3 linked regions of the Caenorhabditis elegans genome follow. The protein of the gene in region 2 purifies or fractionates together with the protein of the main gene of each other region. This does not show direct contact. Each region holds a gene or a part of one and is shown on either strand. Other genes may lie near its edges.

Region 1 (5,177 bases), 2.2 Mb from region 2:
TGCTAATTTAAATTGTTTTTTTTTTAAATATTCTACTTCATCATTTTTCATCTCAAAAAAAAATTGAAATTTCCTATAGCATTCATAATTTGCCTAAATTATTTATAGGAACTCATTCCAAATCCCACCACCTGTACCCCCACAAACTGTTTTGGCAGATTAAGTGTGGAATAACGTAAGGAAACAAATGAGGTGCCGAAATGTAGTCGCCTATGATCTGATATGCACACCAAAAAAAAGAAGTGCCTTCACTTCATCCTCAATTATGCAATCAAAAATCTGTCGTTTGTTTGGTCTCAAGGTCGATGGTCCTCTTCGTCGGAAACCTTTTGAAGTGAGACGAGACCTGTTGTCCAATTATTTGTCGATCATCAACTGTTTTTTTTTATTGTTTCGCCAACACTTCCGAGACTGGTTTATCCCCTGATATTCGACCATAAAATACATGCGGGAAATATATATATATATATATATATATATATATATATATATATATATATATATATATATATATATGATGTACTTCATTATTTCGAATCAAAATTACAAATATTCATAATAAGAAATGTGCGATAAAGAGTTCTACAATCCATTTTGTTTTCTAATTCACAAGTTGAGCCAAAAGTCTAGTGAAGTCTGATCCCAACTTTTGGAACTTTGGAGGTGTCAATGTCGTCGTGTGGGAAGAATGGATGCTTGACAGCGCTGAAAAATTATACAATGATAATTTGCATAGCTTTGTGTACTACACGAGGAAAAGTGTGATTTAATTTGTTTATAGGATTGTATAATTTTGAGCTGGAATTCTTGAGTTTGGACCATCGAATTTTTGCCAATTTTGGAAATTTCGGCAGTTGGCAAAATTGTCAATTGCCGAAAATTTCCAAAACTGGCAATTGCCAAAATTGCCAGTTGCCGGAAATCAGAATTGCCGGAAATATAATTTTAGCCTAAACATGCATTTTAAGGAACAATTTTCCTTTTTCAAGCTCAAAATGATTGAATCCTTGATGGATTTAACGCTTTCTTTCAGAAAATGACTAACTGAATACTAAAAACCAATTTGCAATTTTTTCAATTTCCGAAATATAGTTAGGTTTGAAAATCGCCGAAAATGTCCGGCAATCGACAATTTCTGCAATTTCGGCAATCGCCGGAATCGCCGATTGCCGGAATTTTTCAAAACCGGCAATTGATGAAATTGCCAATTGCAGCGCACTCTTGGTTTGGACTACTGAAGATTTACCGGCCCACTGACGGGAAAATATCCTGAAGTGAGCGAGTGGAGGGGAAATAATTTCGACAAAAATATAAAAGTTTCAAACTTGAAATGGTTTTTTTTAATTTTAAAACATTCGTTCCATAGATAAAAAACCTACAAATCAGCGATGAAAAGTCTAGTTCTGGTCTCGATACTGTTCAAAGTGTGCATATCCTCATCGCTCAGCTTAAAATCAAACGTCGAGATATTCTCAACAATTCTGTCCGGACTGACACTCTTCGGAATCGTCGAAATACCGTGTTGAGTCAGGTGGCGAATGAGAATCTGTGCAGCAGTTTTGTGATACTTGGCAGCCAGTTGTTTGACGATTGGCTCGAGAAGTGGGTCACCTTCCGGCCAGACACCGTCCGGACGAGCAGCTTTTCTGCCTGGTGAGCCAAGTGGTGCGTATGCTGTAACAGTGACTCCGAGTTTTTTGCACAGAGCACGGAGCTCTTGTTGTGGCCAATAGATGTGACACTCGACTTGTTGGTTGGCTGGCTTCACTTCGGCGGCGTCATAGAGCGCTTGAAGCTGGTTGCAACTGAAGTTGGATACTCCAAGGGCCTGAAAATTATATTTTTGGAGAAAGAACACTACGTGTAACTTGAACATGGATAGTTAACAAAATATTGGCAACTAATTTTTCTACATTCTGCTGAAATTTTATAAGTATATGTATTCCAAAAAACGTTACAGCAGCTGACACCCGGTGGGTCTAATTTTGACTACATTTTTTGAATAAACCACTGGAAATTTTCAAGAAAAAATTTAATAAGAACATTTTTAATACAAACTTTTCATCACATGGACGGCAAACGATTTTTCGGGCAAACTGCCTGTTTAAAAATTTCCGCCAAATCGGCAAACTGACAAATTGCTTACCGAATTTGCCGGAAAAAAGGCCAATAATTTTCGAAAAATTGTGGTTTTGCACTTTTTTTTTTGGAAATTTCAGAATTTCAATTTTAATCGGCAAAATTGTACGCATCCTATGAATGTTTCTACATCTGTTTTGAAAAATAAGCAAATCCTTTGAAAATGTTTAATGAAAACGGGAAAAAATTTCAAAAAGACACAGTGTTAAGTGCTTCCGTCTTATAAAAAATTCCCTCTAAACACTTCCGGCAAATTTATATAATGGCGAACGGCGAATCAGCGAATTGCCGAAAATGAAAACTTCCGGCAAACCGTCAAACCGGCAATTTGCCGTTTTGCCGAACTTGTCGACAAAAAAATTTGCCGAATGGCATTGCCGCCCACCCCTGATTCAATTACTTTATGGAAATCGAAATTGCTGATGTTCCTTCAAGACCAAATCTCACAAACCTTAAGCTTTCCCTCCTTGTACAACTTCTCCAACGCTCTCCATGTATCAATATGAGCGATTTCTGTAACAGCAAGCTCTCCATTCTCCATCAATGGAGCAAAGCTTCCCTCCTGATGTTTGAATGGGAATGGGCAATGGATCAAATACAGGTCAATATACTCAAGTTGAAGCGCCTTCAATTGGCTTTCCACACATTTTGGAACATCTTCCGGGGCGTGAGCGGTAAATGGAAGTTTAGAGGTGACGAAGATGTCCTCGCGTTTCAGTTTTCCAGATGAGATGTACTCATGGAGCACTTTTCCAATAATGTGCTCGTTTTGGTAGAGGTGAGCAGTGTCTGAATATTGAAAAAATGGGATTTTCAGTTGTCAAAACGTTGTCAAAACTGCCCTCCAAGGATCAACTTTGCCAATGGTTTTATTCGAAAACTCGAAAAACTGGACACCGTAAAAAATCTCAACATTTGTGTCAAAAAGTAGAAAAATACCTAGAATTTGAATGGGAAAATCTGAAGTTAAAGGTGTGAGTAAAGTTTGTCGGTTTTTTGAAAATGGGTCGTAGTTACCGAATGTAAAAAATGTTGGAAAAAAATTTCAAAATTTTTAATGTTTTTTTTCAATTGTGCAAAAAATTTAATTAACTGGTTTGAGCAAGCCACCACTTTTTTTTTGAGTTTTCCGTTTTTGGCCAAAAATAACATTTTTTAAATCGGTTTTTATTTTCCAATTATTTTTTTGTGACATCTCAAATGGAAGAAGAAAAGAAAACATGACTAAAAAAAAATTATGGTTTCCATCTAGGACAGCACTCACCAATAAGTCTGTATCCAGCATCAAGAGCTGCACGAAGAGCCACAGTCAGCTCAGCTTCATCCTTCACCTGCCACGTTCCCAATCCGAAAAGTGGAAGCTGAGCTCCGGTATTCAATGGAATAGAGTCTACGGTCATTCTGCAAATACTCAAAATGAATATGACCGAAAAGCAGAAAACTGATAAATGTAAAAGGAGAAGCTACGTTTAAACCAATAGATGACAAAATGATAAACAAAATAAATGATAAGAGGTATTTTGTGACCATCGGCAAGAAATAGAGACGAGAGATGAACAAACGGTTTTCGCTCAGTCACAAAAAATGAATGCCGGAAAAATAGAAAAAAGATGAAAAGACCGTAACGGAAAATGTTCAATGATGCGGAGGCCAATTTTCACTTTTTTTTCATGCAAATTCCAAAAACATGACAATTGTTTTTGTTTGTGGCAATGTGAGAACTGAGACTATTGACAGAAATTTGAAATACATGCAGATAGATGTTCATGTGATGAAACAGTAGTAGGAAGTGGACGACGTTGAAATGAAGGACGCCTAGATAAGAGGGGAAAAGTGTTGTCAGATGACCGAAAAGTGGGTGAGTTCGAAAATCATTATTTGATCGTTTGAAGTAATGAAAAAACAACAAAAGACACAAATTAAAAATTTTTAAAAGGTGAAGTAGCGTAATATCGTGCCAAAATTAGGAAATATCATAGTAAAAATTTTCAAAAATTGTTTTAAAAAGTTATATTTACAGTCAAAAAAAAAAAAATAGAAATGCCGGAAAGGCCTTCTGAAAATAAAAAGTTTATTGTTGAAAAATCTAAAAGAAACTTTAAATAGGGCCTTAAAATTGTTGTTTTGTGCAAAAATTACTTTGAATTTTTCACAGCAAACTGAAATTTTCAACGACCGTTTGAGGTATTTTTTAAACTTTCAAATAAAAATGAATAAAAATTTCAGATTGAACAAACAATTTTCTACATTTTTTTTAAATATTTGATTTGAAAAAGTTATACTTTCGTACTGAAATGAACAGTTCTGTACGTTTGCCAATTCTTTGAAAAACCGATTTTTTATAGAGTGCAATTTTTATGTGACAGCCTGGTTGTTGAAATCTTAACTATTATCAATTTGCTATACCGTTCAAAAATTATTTTGAAGTGGACGCTGGCTTCTGCAGAAAAGTTGATTTCTCATTGAATATGTAAAATGATATTGAAACCTGAAACGTGCAAAAATTTTGAGATTAAAAAAAACAATCCCATCCAGAACATAAACTGTAAAAATCTGACAAAAAAAATTCCAAAAACCGGTTGCCGAAAATAAAATGGAAAAAATAGAGAAAAATAACATATGTACAGTATAAATTATTAAATTTCCATTGATTAACGGCCAAGCAACTAAAAGTGTCTAACTAGCCTCTACTGAAAATTAAAAATAAAAATTTGAGGTAAGTACACGATTTCTTAAAATTCCTAAACTTGGGTTCAGCATTTTCCAGTTTTTGAAACAAAACTTGATAGCGTGGTTCTTCGATTTCACAGATTACGAATCTACAATATTAAAGAACATTTCGGGATTAATTTTCAATCTATCACGCATATTTGATCTACGAGAGGCTGATCTACCGGGTTCGATAGCTATCTTCCGAAAGCAGATCACTCGAGAAGGGCATAATTCAGTGTGTATTTGAGATGTCAGGTTCCTCGTGCTGCATCTTTTTTGATGTTTTTTGTAATGTTTTTAATGTTCTATGCAATTATGAAAAATTT
Region 2 (7,696 bases):
TAATTTCTTACAGCTTACTTTCGGTGGGAAAATAATTATCATATTCAAAAATTGAAAATTTAAATTAATAGTGTCTTATTATTCCAGGCTTATTCTCCACGATTGGCCCTAAAAATATTTACTTGCCTGACAATACACAAGGTTTTCAAGTCAATATTTTAGGCCCGAACTTGAAAAAAGCAGGAGCCAGTGGCCGTAAAGGTCCGTCTAAAAACTTTATTTACAGGAGAGGCTAGTCTACATCTAGGCTAAATCTCAAAATTCCAAGCTTTTAAGTACTTGGATTGTGCGGCTCTTTTCTCGGCGCATATGAAAATTCCTTTTTTTCAGTGTGTTAGCAAGAAAGAGTTTGTTAATGATTATATCAATTGAATAGCTGGAGTAATAAGCTTATCATTCAAAAATAAAATTTGAAAAAAGTGATTATAGCGTAGAGATCGCCTGGAACCAATGATCCGAAAGCCGAGAGCCAAATCATTCGGCTCGGCTCTCGGCACATTGCGAATGGTATGGAACATTGTGTACACTTTTCAAAATGTATATTTTTAATGATAAGCTTATTGTTCCAGCTATTCACCGTATATTCTCTATTAGTGCTGCATGCAGCACTAATTTCCAGGCCCTCTTTTAATGCAGTACTACTGGAGACTGCAGCATTAATTTTCGAACGGCTATTTTTAATTATAGATCACTAGTTTTTAGTCACAAAAGCTCATTTCTTAAGCAGAAATTCATTAAAATTGCGAACTTTTGTAACAAAAAGACCCAATAATTCAATAACTTTCGTAAATTATCAAAAATATACAAAAAAGTACCCAAAAACATCGAAACTGTCAAGTGACTCTGTCAATAGATAATGGGGTGCAGTACTAATAGAGACTGCAGCACTATTTTTCGTTCACTTTTTGAATGCAGCACTATTAGAGACTGCAGTACTACTGGATATGCAGCACTAATAGAGAATATACGGCAACTAGTATAAGCATTCGCAAACTCTTTGAAAATGGAATTTTCAGATGCGCCGAGGAAAGAGCTGCACAACCCAGTCAGTTACCTAACTATTCACATAAAAGCCCCCTAACCCCTAGAAAAACCGAATTTTTCACCTCCACAGTAGTCCTTTTAAAGAATCCGAAAGAGGCGGGACAAACTAGTGATCTTCGAGATTTTCCTTAACAATTTCTTATCAGTACTTCGTGGTTTAGTGCGATGTGTTTAGATTTGATTGAAACTACGAAGTTATCAATGTTTATCACAATAAAATTGGAGTTGGCAAATTTAGGTTAAAGACCAATACCATAGTTTTTCAAATGGCATGATCCTTTCCACGCCTATTCGGGGGACTATAAAAAATGGGACTGGGGTACTGAAAACTACGAAATATTTTATAAGTTTTTTTTGTTAAATTTGATTAAACGTTTCTTTCATTTTTTTTGTAAAATTATCCATTTATATTGGTTTTATTTATGTTAAAATTTCAGATGACTGCTCCATCTGCTCCATGCGCCCAGGCTCCTCAACTCACCCGTCGTTGGGCAAAGATTGTCGTTGAGAACCGTACAGGATCACACTTTAAAATTCAAGTTCTTCATGAATACACCGGGGAACAAACCAATGATTCTGGATATATCGACTTCAAGCCAGATGATAGAATCACTGTTTTCGAGAAGATATATTATAATACCGGATTCTTCACAACTGGAGTTGATAACTGGAAGGTTCATGGCACTAAATTGATCCAGGTCGAGACGGAAGGAACTATTGCTAGAAATATCTTCGGCAAGTTCTTTGTCGACGGACTTCCATACAGTACGGGGCATGGAGCTTTTGCTAAATGGAAGAAGCACACTTTAAGAGCTGATGATGATGGACAGGAAACTGTGATCAAGGTATTTCAGACTGAGGTTCAGTTCATTTCGCCAAGTGGACGATCGGTTACCACTTTCAACACTCTTGGAGAAAACATCCTCCCATTCTCCCAAAACCCACAGAAGCAGTGAATAATTATCGAGTTATAATGGTGAATAGATTTGTAATGGATTATTGTAATTTCTTGTGGACTTTAACCTAAAGTTGCCAACTTCATATTTTATTGGTGATAGAGTTATAAACACTGATAACGAATTCTTTGTATTTTCAAATCGCAACACATTGAACCAAACCACAAAGTACTGATAAGAAGAATGAGAAGGAGAAAGATCATAAAATTGTTTGTCAGCAATATGCCGGTTCCGCCTCTTTTGGTTTGCTGATATGGAATACATGGCAGAATTAGTTGGTATTCAGTCAGAACGGAGTGTGATGTCTATTCAAAGGTTATATTGAATCAGAAACCTTTTTTAGTTTTAAAATAAACTTATAAACCGAGACAAACCCTGAAAGATTTCAACTCGAGTATGAGAAATGGGCGGGGGGAAGGGATTAGAAGAAACGAAGTGAAAATAAAGTGACTCGAGTTCAATTAGACCGGGGTATGTGAAGATCAAAAAAGTGAGTAACAGGATTTAACAGAGAAGTTTTATTTACCAAAGAAGTCACCTACAGTAACACCAAAATTGTTGGGTATCAACGTGTATTGACCCACGACGTGGCTAAAAAGATCGTACAACGTGAACTCTATGAACTAGCTTATTTATTCCTTAGTTTAATGTAATAATAAACTACTCGTCTTCGCCTCCTCGTTCTGCCTCAATACATAACAATCTGCCTCAATACATTAAGTTGTCTCTGAGCACAAATAGGCCGATATATTTCCAAACGCAATACGTTTTTTAAAAATCATATTTGTATTACTTACTTGCGTACATAATGTAAAACGTCTCACACGGTTAATGTCTCTACTACGTATTAGGTGTAGGCACCGGTAGGCACTCTGGTAAGGAATAGAATTCCTGATTCGATATGATGTTCTTCAAAAATGTATTTTATTTTATAGGGCCCGCTCAGAAAACTTCAGAAAGTGTAAATCACTTCTAGTGGACTGTTTTTGAGCTCAGGGTTTAGAATTCAAGTTTGATTGGTACGCATGAAAAATTATATTAGATAAATTACAATAAATTTATTGAAACTTTTAAAGAAAATCTATTGATAAGAATTATTGACTGAAAATTTAAACATCATGTCTATAGAAGTCAGTAGTCGATGTTCCACTCTTGGATACAAATTGAACTTCTTTCTCGAGAACCTTGATTACTGTAGTTTGGGCATGGTCTTCTACTCTCAAAGTGTGTTTTTTCCAATCAGCCCCATCTGGATGTCCACTACGCCAAGCTTCACCGAGAATACGAACCTTTCCATCAACCACTCCATTCTTATCGTCTACTGTAAATTAATTCCTTCAAAACTATCAAAATATAAGTTAACTTACAGTTTGTCTCAATCTGTTTGATTCCATGAACCTTCCAATTATCAGTACCAGTTGTAAATGGTCCAGTGTTGTAGTGAACTTTCTCCAGAATTTGGGCACTTTGGTTTGGCTCCAATTTCACCCATTTTGAAGCTTCCAATGCATTGCCGGTATACTGATGAAGCACTTGGAACTTGAACACATGGTCACTTTTGTTCTCAATATCCACTTTGGCCCATTGTTCTGTCACACCTGATGGTTCGTCGCTTGCCATTTCTTGAAACGTTGAAGAGAATCGACTCACTTGAGTTTCGATTGATTTCGTGTATTTCCAACTGACTTTAAAAAGCAGTTCAAGTGGGTGGAGTTAAGCACATTACTTGTCAATAGATAATGTTTCAATACTGATATAAAACCTTTGGTCTATGCTTATCTGTCATTACTTTGTGTTCTTTGTCATTTTCAAGCAACGTGTCTGCGGTTTTGACGTCAAGAAACCAAAGGTGTACCAAAAGAAAGCACAACTTTATGATCAATTTTCATGATCATAGTTCATGCTACATGAAACTAACAGGCAAACTGTTCAATTTCATGTTCTTTATCAATTTCACAAACAATCAAACCACAAAAATAGTCAAAGAGAGAAGATCACTTGCATTCCTTATCAATAACTCCACCTCCTCGTTTAGTTTAAAATGGTTACCGTATCAACTGATAATTCAGATCGTTTCTTGACTGAAAACTGATCATGTCGACTGATCCAACTCCACCACAACTCACGAGACGCACTGCAAAGGTTTCAATTGATAATCAGACTGGAAGTCACTTCAAGTTTCAAGTGACACATAAATACACTGGATGGGATGCGGATAAGTCTGATGTTGTGATGTTCCAGCCTGATGAAGTCAAGGAAATCTTCAAAAGTGTCGCCTATAACACTGGATTCTTGACAACTGGAGTTGACAATTGGCTAGTGGATGGTACGATGGTTCAGGAGAGAACTGGTTTGTGGAGTTTTATCTTTTGAGAATAAAGAACTTGAAATTTCAGAAGTGGATAACAAAGGTCACCAAATCGGAAAGAAATCCTACATAGAGCATGCGAAATTCATCAGTGACTCGAGATCATGGAAGCAGCATATGCTAACAGCTGAAGATGACGGAAAAACTACCACGATCCGTGTTTTCCCAACCGAAATTCACTTCATCTCTCCAAGTGGGGAATCGACTACCACTTTCACTAAATATTGATTTCATGTTTTATTTGTAGTTACTTTGAGTTTCTGTTTGAGCAGCGATATTCTTCGTAGGAGTACTTTTCTTAAGCTTTTTTTTTTGAAATAAAATTCATTCTCAAAACTATTTCCAAGCAAAGCTAATTTTTGATTGAAGCTAGATAATTGTCATCAACAGTAATTGTAGAATTTTAGCTTTTTCTGTATTAGGAAATCTACCGTTTCAACCTTTTATACACTTTTCTATCTTTCCACTATGTCCAATTTCTTTTTACAAATATAACAAATATACGACAGCGCAAATGGGAACTAGGACTTGCACTCGTGACTCCCAGGTTGCGAACGGCCACCACAACCGACTGAGCTATCCCGACCCAGGTGCATATTTTCGAATGGCTAAATATTTTCAAATTACTGAACGAATGTTGTCAGTGAAAATTGTCTATTAATTTGGCTGAAAAATATTTTTATAAAAATACAAAATCAGGTCAGGTATTCAGATCAGTCTCAAACTTGATTCAATCGAGCCAATGAATAAAATAGTTGACTGAAAATCATTCCTGAGAACTTTGTAAAAAAATTACATTATCAAGTTCAAGTAGTTTAAAGTTTGAAACATTTCCAAAAAGTGCAGGTTTTATTTTTTGAACAAAAAAATAATCTGGTAAATTCAGTACTAATTGGAAAAATCATGAGACAAATTGATTTTTTTTAATCTTACGAAAAATCGATTTTGAACTTCATTTAGAAAACAGACTCATAATATTCCACATTTGACTTTTTCAGATGTTTTCAATTTTTAAGCAAAACTGCCAAGTTTGATATTTTTTAATGAGTTTTGAAAAGATAAAATCGGTCTCTTTTTTGCATTGGTCTGGATCTTCGCGATTTAGAGATATTTTTAACATTAGATGATAAACTTGAAGAACAAGGTTGCTCCGACATGTGGCGTACAAATGAACACATGCTTTTTCTCATTTTACTCCTAATTCTAACCAAGCATGAACTTCTTGTTGATACTGACCCTAATTTCTATTATAGTGCGGAGTAGACAAGAGGTAAGTAATCACAAAAAGAAACAAAAAAAATACTGAAAATTTAGAATTTTCCGGTATTATCAAATTGAATCTACTTAAGTTCGAACACTAATTGACAGTGATTTTTTTTTTGAAAATGACTTATTCAAAAAATCAAGAATATAGAGATCCCGGTTTGTTCAATTTTTTAAAAAACCGTCAAAATTTTCGACATTTTTTGGTTTCCCATTTTTTGTTTCAAGTTTCAAGACTTTAACCTAGAATTTGTCGATATTCAGGAAGACTTTGCTAAATAAACTACAAACTACAAAATGTATTCAGAATGCTAGTATGGATCCTTGCAACGACTTCTATGATTATGTGTGCACAAATGACACCAGAAGTATCACTAAGCTTAACTTCGCAAGTTTATTCGATGATCGAGAGATATTGGTAGTTTGCTTCCTGCCATTTATCCTATAGTACCCAGCAATTTTTCAGAAACCGAACATCTCATTTCCGAATAACGGGACCTACATCGCATTAGATCAGATTCTTGAGCCGGATCGCTTGATGAAATGGTATATGACGGTTAAATCACTGGATACGGCCACCGTGGATTTAGAATATTTTTTCGAGACGCATTACGAATATATTAGCAAAAAGAACGATTCGGAGAAATTCAGTTTTGCGGTGGAGACCCTGGAAAACGTTAATCTAACGGTAAATATTTATTTTCAGGACAAGTAATGGTGAAGCATATCTTGCTAATACCCTATTTGTTCTATTTTATCACATAGTTTTTCCAGTTGACAAATATTTTCTACAATTCTCTCTACGCCAATATCAAGGTCCTCAACCAGCTTAATCTTCCAGCCGCCGAAGAAAATAAATTTCTTCATCATATTTCCAATCTATTGAAAAATAATACTATCGAGGAGATTTGGAGCAGTTCTTTATCAAATAAAAGTAAAAAGGTACTTGATGAAGAACTGAACAACTCAAAAGTATTTTTCGGACTTTTGGATTATAATAATGTCACAATGCTAGAGGAAACTAAACTCGTTTACGAGACGGAATATTATCGACTCAAAAGTTTATTGTCGTCAGAGTAAGTTGATATTTGAAGACAAACTTTTAAAATTTGTCTTCAGTGATCTTGACACCGAAATCGCGGAGAAAATCCTCCGTTTAGGAGCCATTGATACCGCGACAAAGTACTTGGCGAAACGAATTCCGGGCTATGAACCAGAGTTTTTGTTCTCCGCTTTTGCGTCGAATATGGAAAATGAAGCGTTTAAGCACAACTCAGCTATTTATGCTGGAATTGTCACCCGAAGTGATTTACAACAACCTATGTTAGCGGTGAGGAAATATTGAACATTAATTTTTATTCTAGTATTTTTTGCTGACTAACGGTTTTTAAATCTGAAATTCAGTCACCAAAAAACTTACCTGAAAATGCCGAGTCTATTTTGCACTTTTCCAGATAGCCGACACCGTTTCCGTGCTTGCCCATGAGCTTATGCACTTTGTCTATCCAAGCGGAACAGAGTTACTGACTCCTAATGTTACAAAAGCAGCAAAAAAGTGTACACAAGATGAAGTGAAGAGGATGGGTGACTCTGATGTCGTGGTAAGCTAGCGACTGTCGGCTTTTTCCGAACATACTTCTGAAAAAATTGACGGTTTCAGAAGCCAATAGATGGATGGTTTAGTAAAAAAGTCACTCATGAGGATCTTGCAAATATAATGGGATTAAGGATGGTTATGAAGATGGTGGCAAGGAAATCGGCAAGTGAAGAGCAGGTAAGAAATATTTCAGCAAAATAAAATCAGAGGCATTGAAATGCTCCAATGTATTTGTTACGAGCACACAAGTGGAACGATTAAGTTTTAAAAAATTCGCTAATTTGTACCACAGTCTGTACTTACTATTAGAACTTGCTCCCGTCACTGTAAAAAAATTAAATATTTCAGCTGAAAAATGCGCTTGAAACACTTTTGAGTGGATTATGCATCCAAGGCAAACCAAAAAACTCAATTTTACCACACCATCATCCATTTGAAATATCCATCAACACCGCAGTTCGCCAGTAT
Region 3 (4,368 bases), on a different chromosome or scaffold from region 2:
AGTGTTGCTCTTCTTATCACAGGTTAGATTATTATGAAGACGCAGAAAATGCGCTCCACGGCCAATTGGAACCGCTCCGCCTCAAATAGTTGGGTCTCGTTAGGAAAAACTGGTAACTTGAAAGTTACCACTTGAAGCTAATTGAAAATGCTGAATTTTGGTAGAATACCTAATGAGACCCACGGTTAGGAGGCGGAGCGTTTTCAATTTGCCGTGGAGGGCGTTTTCACGTTGATTGGGCATTTTTTCTACGTCCCAATAATATTTTATATTTTCCAGGTATAATCATAATCGCCGTCACGCTAGATCCAACTTCAAATAGTGAGGAGGATGAGGAATCGGATTTGGAAATCGACGAACCCACGGCGGCTCGTTCCAAACGGAATGATAAACAGATTGCCGATCCGAATAGTTACTATCCACGTTTTGATTATGATTTCAATCATTCGAATACGATTCTCTCTGAACTGTGATTATTTTCCCCCATTCCATTTACGGGTCTAATCGTCACTTTTATGATAAAATGTGTATTATATATGAACAAACAAGAAATGAGAGGTTGCAAAAAACCATGGCAATAAACGTTATTGAACAAGAATAAAAGAACCAAGAAGTGATTGTGTGTGGGGATGGATGAGAGAATTCAGAATTCACAGAATTTCAATTTACTTGAGCTGTGGGAACGACATTTGTGGCTTCAGCTCGGTGAGCGACTCGTTCCAGTATTGAGTGACAGTCTTCCATTGAGTGTAGAACTGGATTCCGGCCTTTCCGTAGAAGTTGAGATCTCCGAGGAATGAACCACGCGAGCCGGTGAACGAGAACATTGGGAGTGGAACTGGGATTGGCACGTTGATTCCGATTTGTCCGACATCGACTTCGTTGGTGAACTTTCTGGCGGTGGCTCCGTTGCTGGTGAAGATGGCCGTTCCGTTTCCGTATGGGTTGTTGTTGATGATTTCGATGGCCTCGTTCAAGTTCTCGGCCTCCATGACGACAAGGACTGGGCCGAAGATTTCTTCCTACAAAAAATTAAATATTAAATTAAACAAATTTAAAAAAAAACAAAATCTTACTCTGTAGCAAGTCATATTTGGCTTGACTCCAGCGAGAATCGTTGGTCCCACGAAGTTTCCATTCTCAAATCCTGGAACAGTGATATTGGATCCATCAAGTGGAACCTGAGCTCCCTCCTTCTTGGCACTCTCGATAAGACGGAGGACACGGGCCTTGGATTGCTTGGAGATCAGTGGTCCGATGTCGGTATCCGGCTTCCATCCAGCGTTGACCTTCAAGTTCTTGGCCTTCTCGACGAGTTCTGGGAGCCAGGCGCGAGCTTCTCCGACGAGCACAGCGGTGGTGAGAGCCATGCAGCGTTGTCCGGCGGCTCCGAAGGCGGCAGCGGTGAGCTGATTGAGGGTCTGTTCTTTGTTGGCATCAGCCATGATGACTCCGTGGTTCTTGGCTCCCATGTTGGATTGGACGCGCTTTCCGTTCTTGGCTCCACGCTCGTAGATGTGTTTTCCCTGAAAAAATCATGAAAATTGATTAATGTTCATAAAAAACAAATTCAAAAAAACTTACAGCAGCATCTCCTCCAACAAATGAGATAGCCTTGATATCTGGGTTATCGCAGATAAAGTTAACAGCAGAGTGCTGTCCGTGAATAATATTGACACATCCATCTGGAACTCCGGCCTCCTTGGCAAGTTCGACAAGAAGCTGAGCTGCTCCTGGATCCTGCTCGGATGGCTTGATGACCATAGTGTTTCCGGTGGCCAAGGCGACTGGGAACATCCACAATGGGATCATAGCCGGGAAGTTGAATGGACAGATTCCGGCGGTGACTCCAAGTGGGATTCTGTAGGAGTGGGTGTCCATGTCGCGAGAGACATTTGGAAGGGTCTCTCCCATCATCAGGGATGGAACGGAGCAAGCGTGCTCGACGACCTGAAGACCTCTGCTGACGTCTCCCTCGGCATCTGGAAGGGTCTTTCCTTGCTCAATGGTGATGCTCTCAGCGAGCTTCTTCATGTCTCTCTTGATCAAGGCTTGAAGTTTGAACATGCATTGTTGACGGGTCAGTGGGGATCTGGAAACTTCTATTATTGAAATAAAAAAAAAAGATCACACGGGATTCAAGACTCACGTGTTCTTCCAGGTGTTGAAGGCATTCTTGGCCGAGTCAACAGCGGCTTGCATCTCAGCTTGGGTGGCGTTTGGCACCATAGCGATGACCTCGTTGGTGGCTGGATTGGTGAGCTCCACGAAGTCGGTGGTCTTCGATTCAACAGCTTGTCCATCGATCCACAGCTTGACAGTCTGAAAAATTATGGAATTTGGATTTGGAAACTTAAGATCAAGCCTGAAACTCACTGGTGCGGCGGCAGCAGACTTCGATGTGCTGAAGTGGGCGAGCTGTTGGCATTTTGGCTGAAATTAGAATATTATTTGAAGTTTTGAAGTTTTGATTGTTTGATTTTCGTTTTCTTTTTCAATGTGTCACCCCATACGACAACTGTCGCACAGACTGCAAGTGATGTGTGAAGTACACGATTTTTTGTTAAAAAATATTATAAAAAGAAACTCCTACCTGAACACGAGCAAGACGAGACAACATTCTGGGGTACCGCAAGTTTTAGAGCTGAAAATTAGAAGATAATGACTGAAAACGCACGAGAAGAAAAATTGAAAATCACAAGAGATGGGCGGTCGCGTGGTGGTTCTGACGATTCGGATAATGCGAAATGAATGAAAACTAAACATTACTGATCACGTTTCGAATTTTGAACTAAGAAATAAATAAAATAAGCCACAAAATACACGCGAACATTGAAAATTAAAAGGTTAAAAGCTCTATCTGCGAGTTTTTGAAGTTTCAATGCTGTTGATAAGACGACGGGAGGAGTGGCAAATAGGACAGAAGAAGAAGAACAGTTGCTTTTCTCTCTCTCTCAGCAAAAAAAGAAGAAAAAGAAATAAAAAAGAGTCAGAGAGTGGGAAAAGTGATAGTGCAAGAGACTAAGAGACGGCCACAGCACGTGGAGAGACCTGCAACTGCCCACCATTTGACCCGTGTGCACTTGGAGAAACGTGATCGATGCGTCTCGAAAACTCGAATACAAAAATAAAATAGTGTTGGTGAATAAACAACGTTAAGATAAAGATCATTAATTAAAACAAATAAAAATGCGGAATATTTAATTTTATATAAAAAAAAGAAACAGAAAGTGCTAGGAAATGTGACAAAAAAAAAAGTAAAAAATTAAAAATTATGAGATGAGAATATGACAGTGTCTAGTGTCTAGAAGGATAGAAGGCTAGAAAAGATTGAAAAAGAACGAGAATGCTATAAATTCAAATAAAAATGATTTAATTCCACTTGTCGACGGAGACATCCAAAAGTCCTGGCTCATGGAAACTCGCTGGGAAGCTGCGCTGTTTCGCGATGAAGATGGAGGCTTCAGTCTCCTGATCCTGATGATGAGAGGCCTCGTCAGCCGAGACAAAGGACGATCGGAGCCAAAAGATGTAGACGCACTGGAGAATCACGAGAAGGATTAAGACGACGCAGAACACGATCAGCCACATCATCGCGTTCACATTGCTGTCGGTCTGGAAATATATTTAATTTATAAATTTCTTCAACACAACCAGCTCACCTCAGACGGATTATTGCGAGCCAGGTAGTCTGCCTGCTCGTTTTCACAGCTCTCCTTGTTGTAATTCTTTCCATCTCTCAACATGCAATAATCGTTGGCCCTGAAATTATGAATATTAAATTCGAAGATCGATGATTTCTTCAAAACCTGATGATGAGGAGCTTGTTGGTCTTCGGAACAACACTGTAAATCGTCTCCGCGTTACAAGTGATACTCCATTCCGAATCGAGTGTTGTCAGCGTTGAGGACAGGGTCTGATGCGTTTCGTTGACATCTCTCACACTCGTCTCGTAGAATACTCCGTTCGAGACACCTTGGAGTTCGCCGCTCAACAAGGAATTTTCGATTCGTCGTCCAGCCATTTTTCCGGTGATAATCGGCACGACATCTTTGATTTTTGCTTGGAACATCTCCACGTGGCCATTAATTCGCTCCTTGTAGTAAACTGCATCGGTGTATGGATCCTCGACCCAATCGAACAGTCCATTCACAGCGTGGCCAGTGTACTTTGCGATGTGCAGCTTGTCGAATCGATCTGAAAATAAAAAATTATGATTAAAAGGCAGGCTTATTAAGCAAGTGATTACCGCTGAAAATGCCATGCAAGTAAATTTGCTCGATATCGTAGAATGGAGGAGCTGAAAAGTCCAGGTAAAGCATGTGTCGAGTCGTGTCGAACATTGAACGGGCCAGATTTCTCTTCGCC

Evidence for each region. The genes of interacting proteins can lie anywhere in the genome.
Region 1: the proteins of pud-2.2 (region 2) and exc-15 fractionate together in Caenorhabditis elegans (co-fractionation; one large-scale study listed by BioGRID). This does not show direct contact.
Region 3: the proteins of pud-2.2 (region 2) and alh-8 fractionate together in Caenorhabditis elegans (co-fractionation; one large-scale study listed by BioGRID). This does not show direct contact.

The regions. Positions count from the first base shown.
Region 1 is NC_003283.11:4,481,867-4,487,043, reverse strand, and holds exc-15 (NADP-dependent oxidoreductase domain-containing protein), read right to left. Parts: upstream 3,586-5,177; 5' UTR 3,540-3,585; coding exon 3,404-3,539; intron 2,929-3,403; coding exon 2,591-2,928; intron 1,829-2,590; coding exon 1,380-1,828; intron 706-1,379; coding exon 627-705; 3' UTR 501-626; downstream 1-500.
Region 2 is NC_003283.11:2,318,938-2,326,633, reverse strand, and holds pud-2.2 (Up-regulated in Daf-2 domain-containing protein), read right to left. Parts: upstream 3,621-7,696; coding exon 3,368-3,620; intron 3,322-3,367; coding exon 3,110-3,321; downstream 1-3,109. Other genes in the region: pud-3 (Up-regulated in Daf-2 domain-containing protein), read left to right, coding at 1,482-2,000; pud-1.2 (Up-regulated in Daf-2 domain-containing protein), read left to right, coding at 4,095-4,350, 4,397-4,596; Y19D10B.6 (Peptidase_M13 domain-containing protein), read left to right, coding at 5,582-5,638, 5,939-6,049, 6,098-6,319, 6,406-6,707, 6,751-6,961, 7,086-7,232, 7,292-7,405, 7,577-7,696.
Region 3 is NC_003280.10:11,727,331-11,731,698, reverse strand, and holds alh-8 (putative methylmalonate-semialdehyde/malonate-semialdehyde dehydrogenase [acylating], mitochondrial), read right to left. Parts: upstream 2,645-4,368; 5' UTR 2,621-2,644; coding exon 2,594-2,620; intron 2,434-2,593; coding exon 2,377-2,433; intron 2,323-2,376; coding exon 2,150-2,322; intron 2,103-2,149; coding exon of another isoform or gene 2,093-2,102; coding exon 1,585-2,092; intron 1,527-1,584; coding exon 1,077-1,526; intron 1,023-1,076; coding exon 666-1,022; 3' UTR 501-665; downstream 1-500. Other genes in the region: F13D12.8 (Col_cuticle_N domain-containing protein), read left to right, coding at 1-22, 280-473; F13D12.5 (uncharacterized protein), read right to left, coding at 3,373-3,615, 3,663-3,762, 3,810-4,197, 4,250-4,368. UniProt on the Caenorhabditis elegans protein: Probable malonate and methylmalonate semialdehyde dehydrogenase involved in the catabolism of valine, thymine, and compounds catabolized by way of beta-alanine, including uracil and cytidine.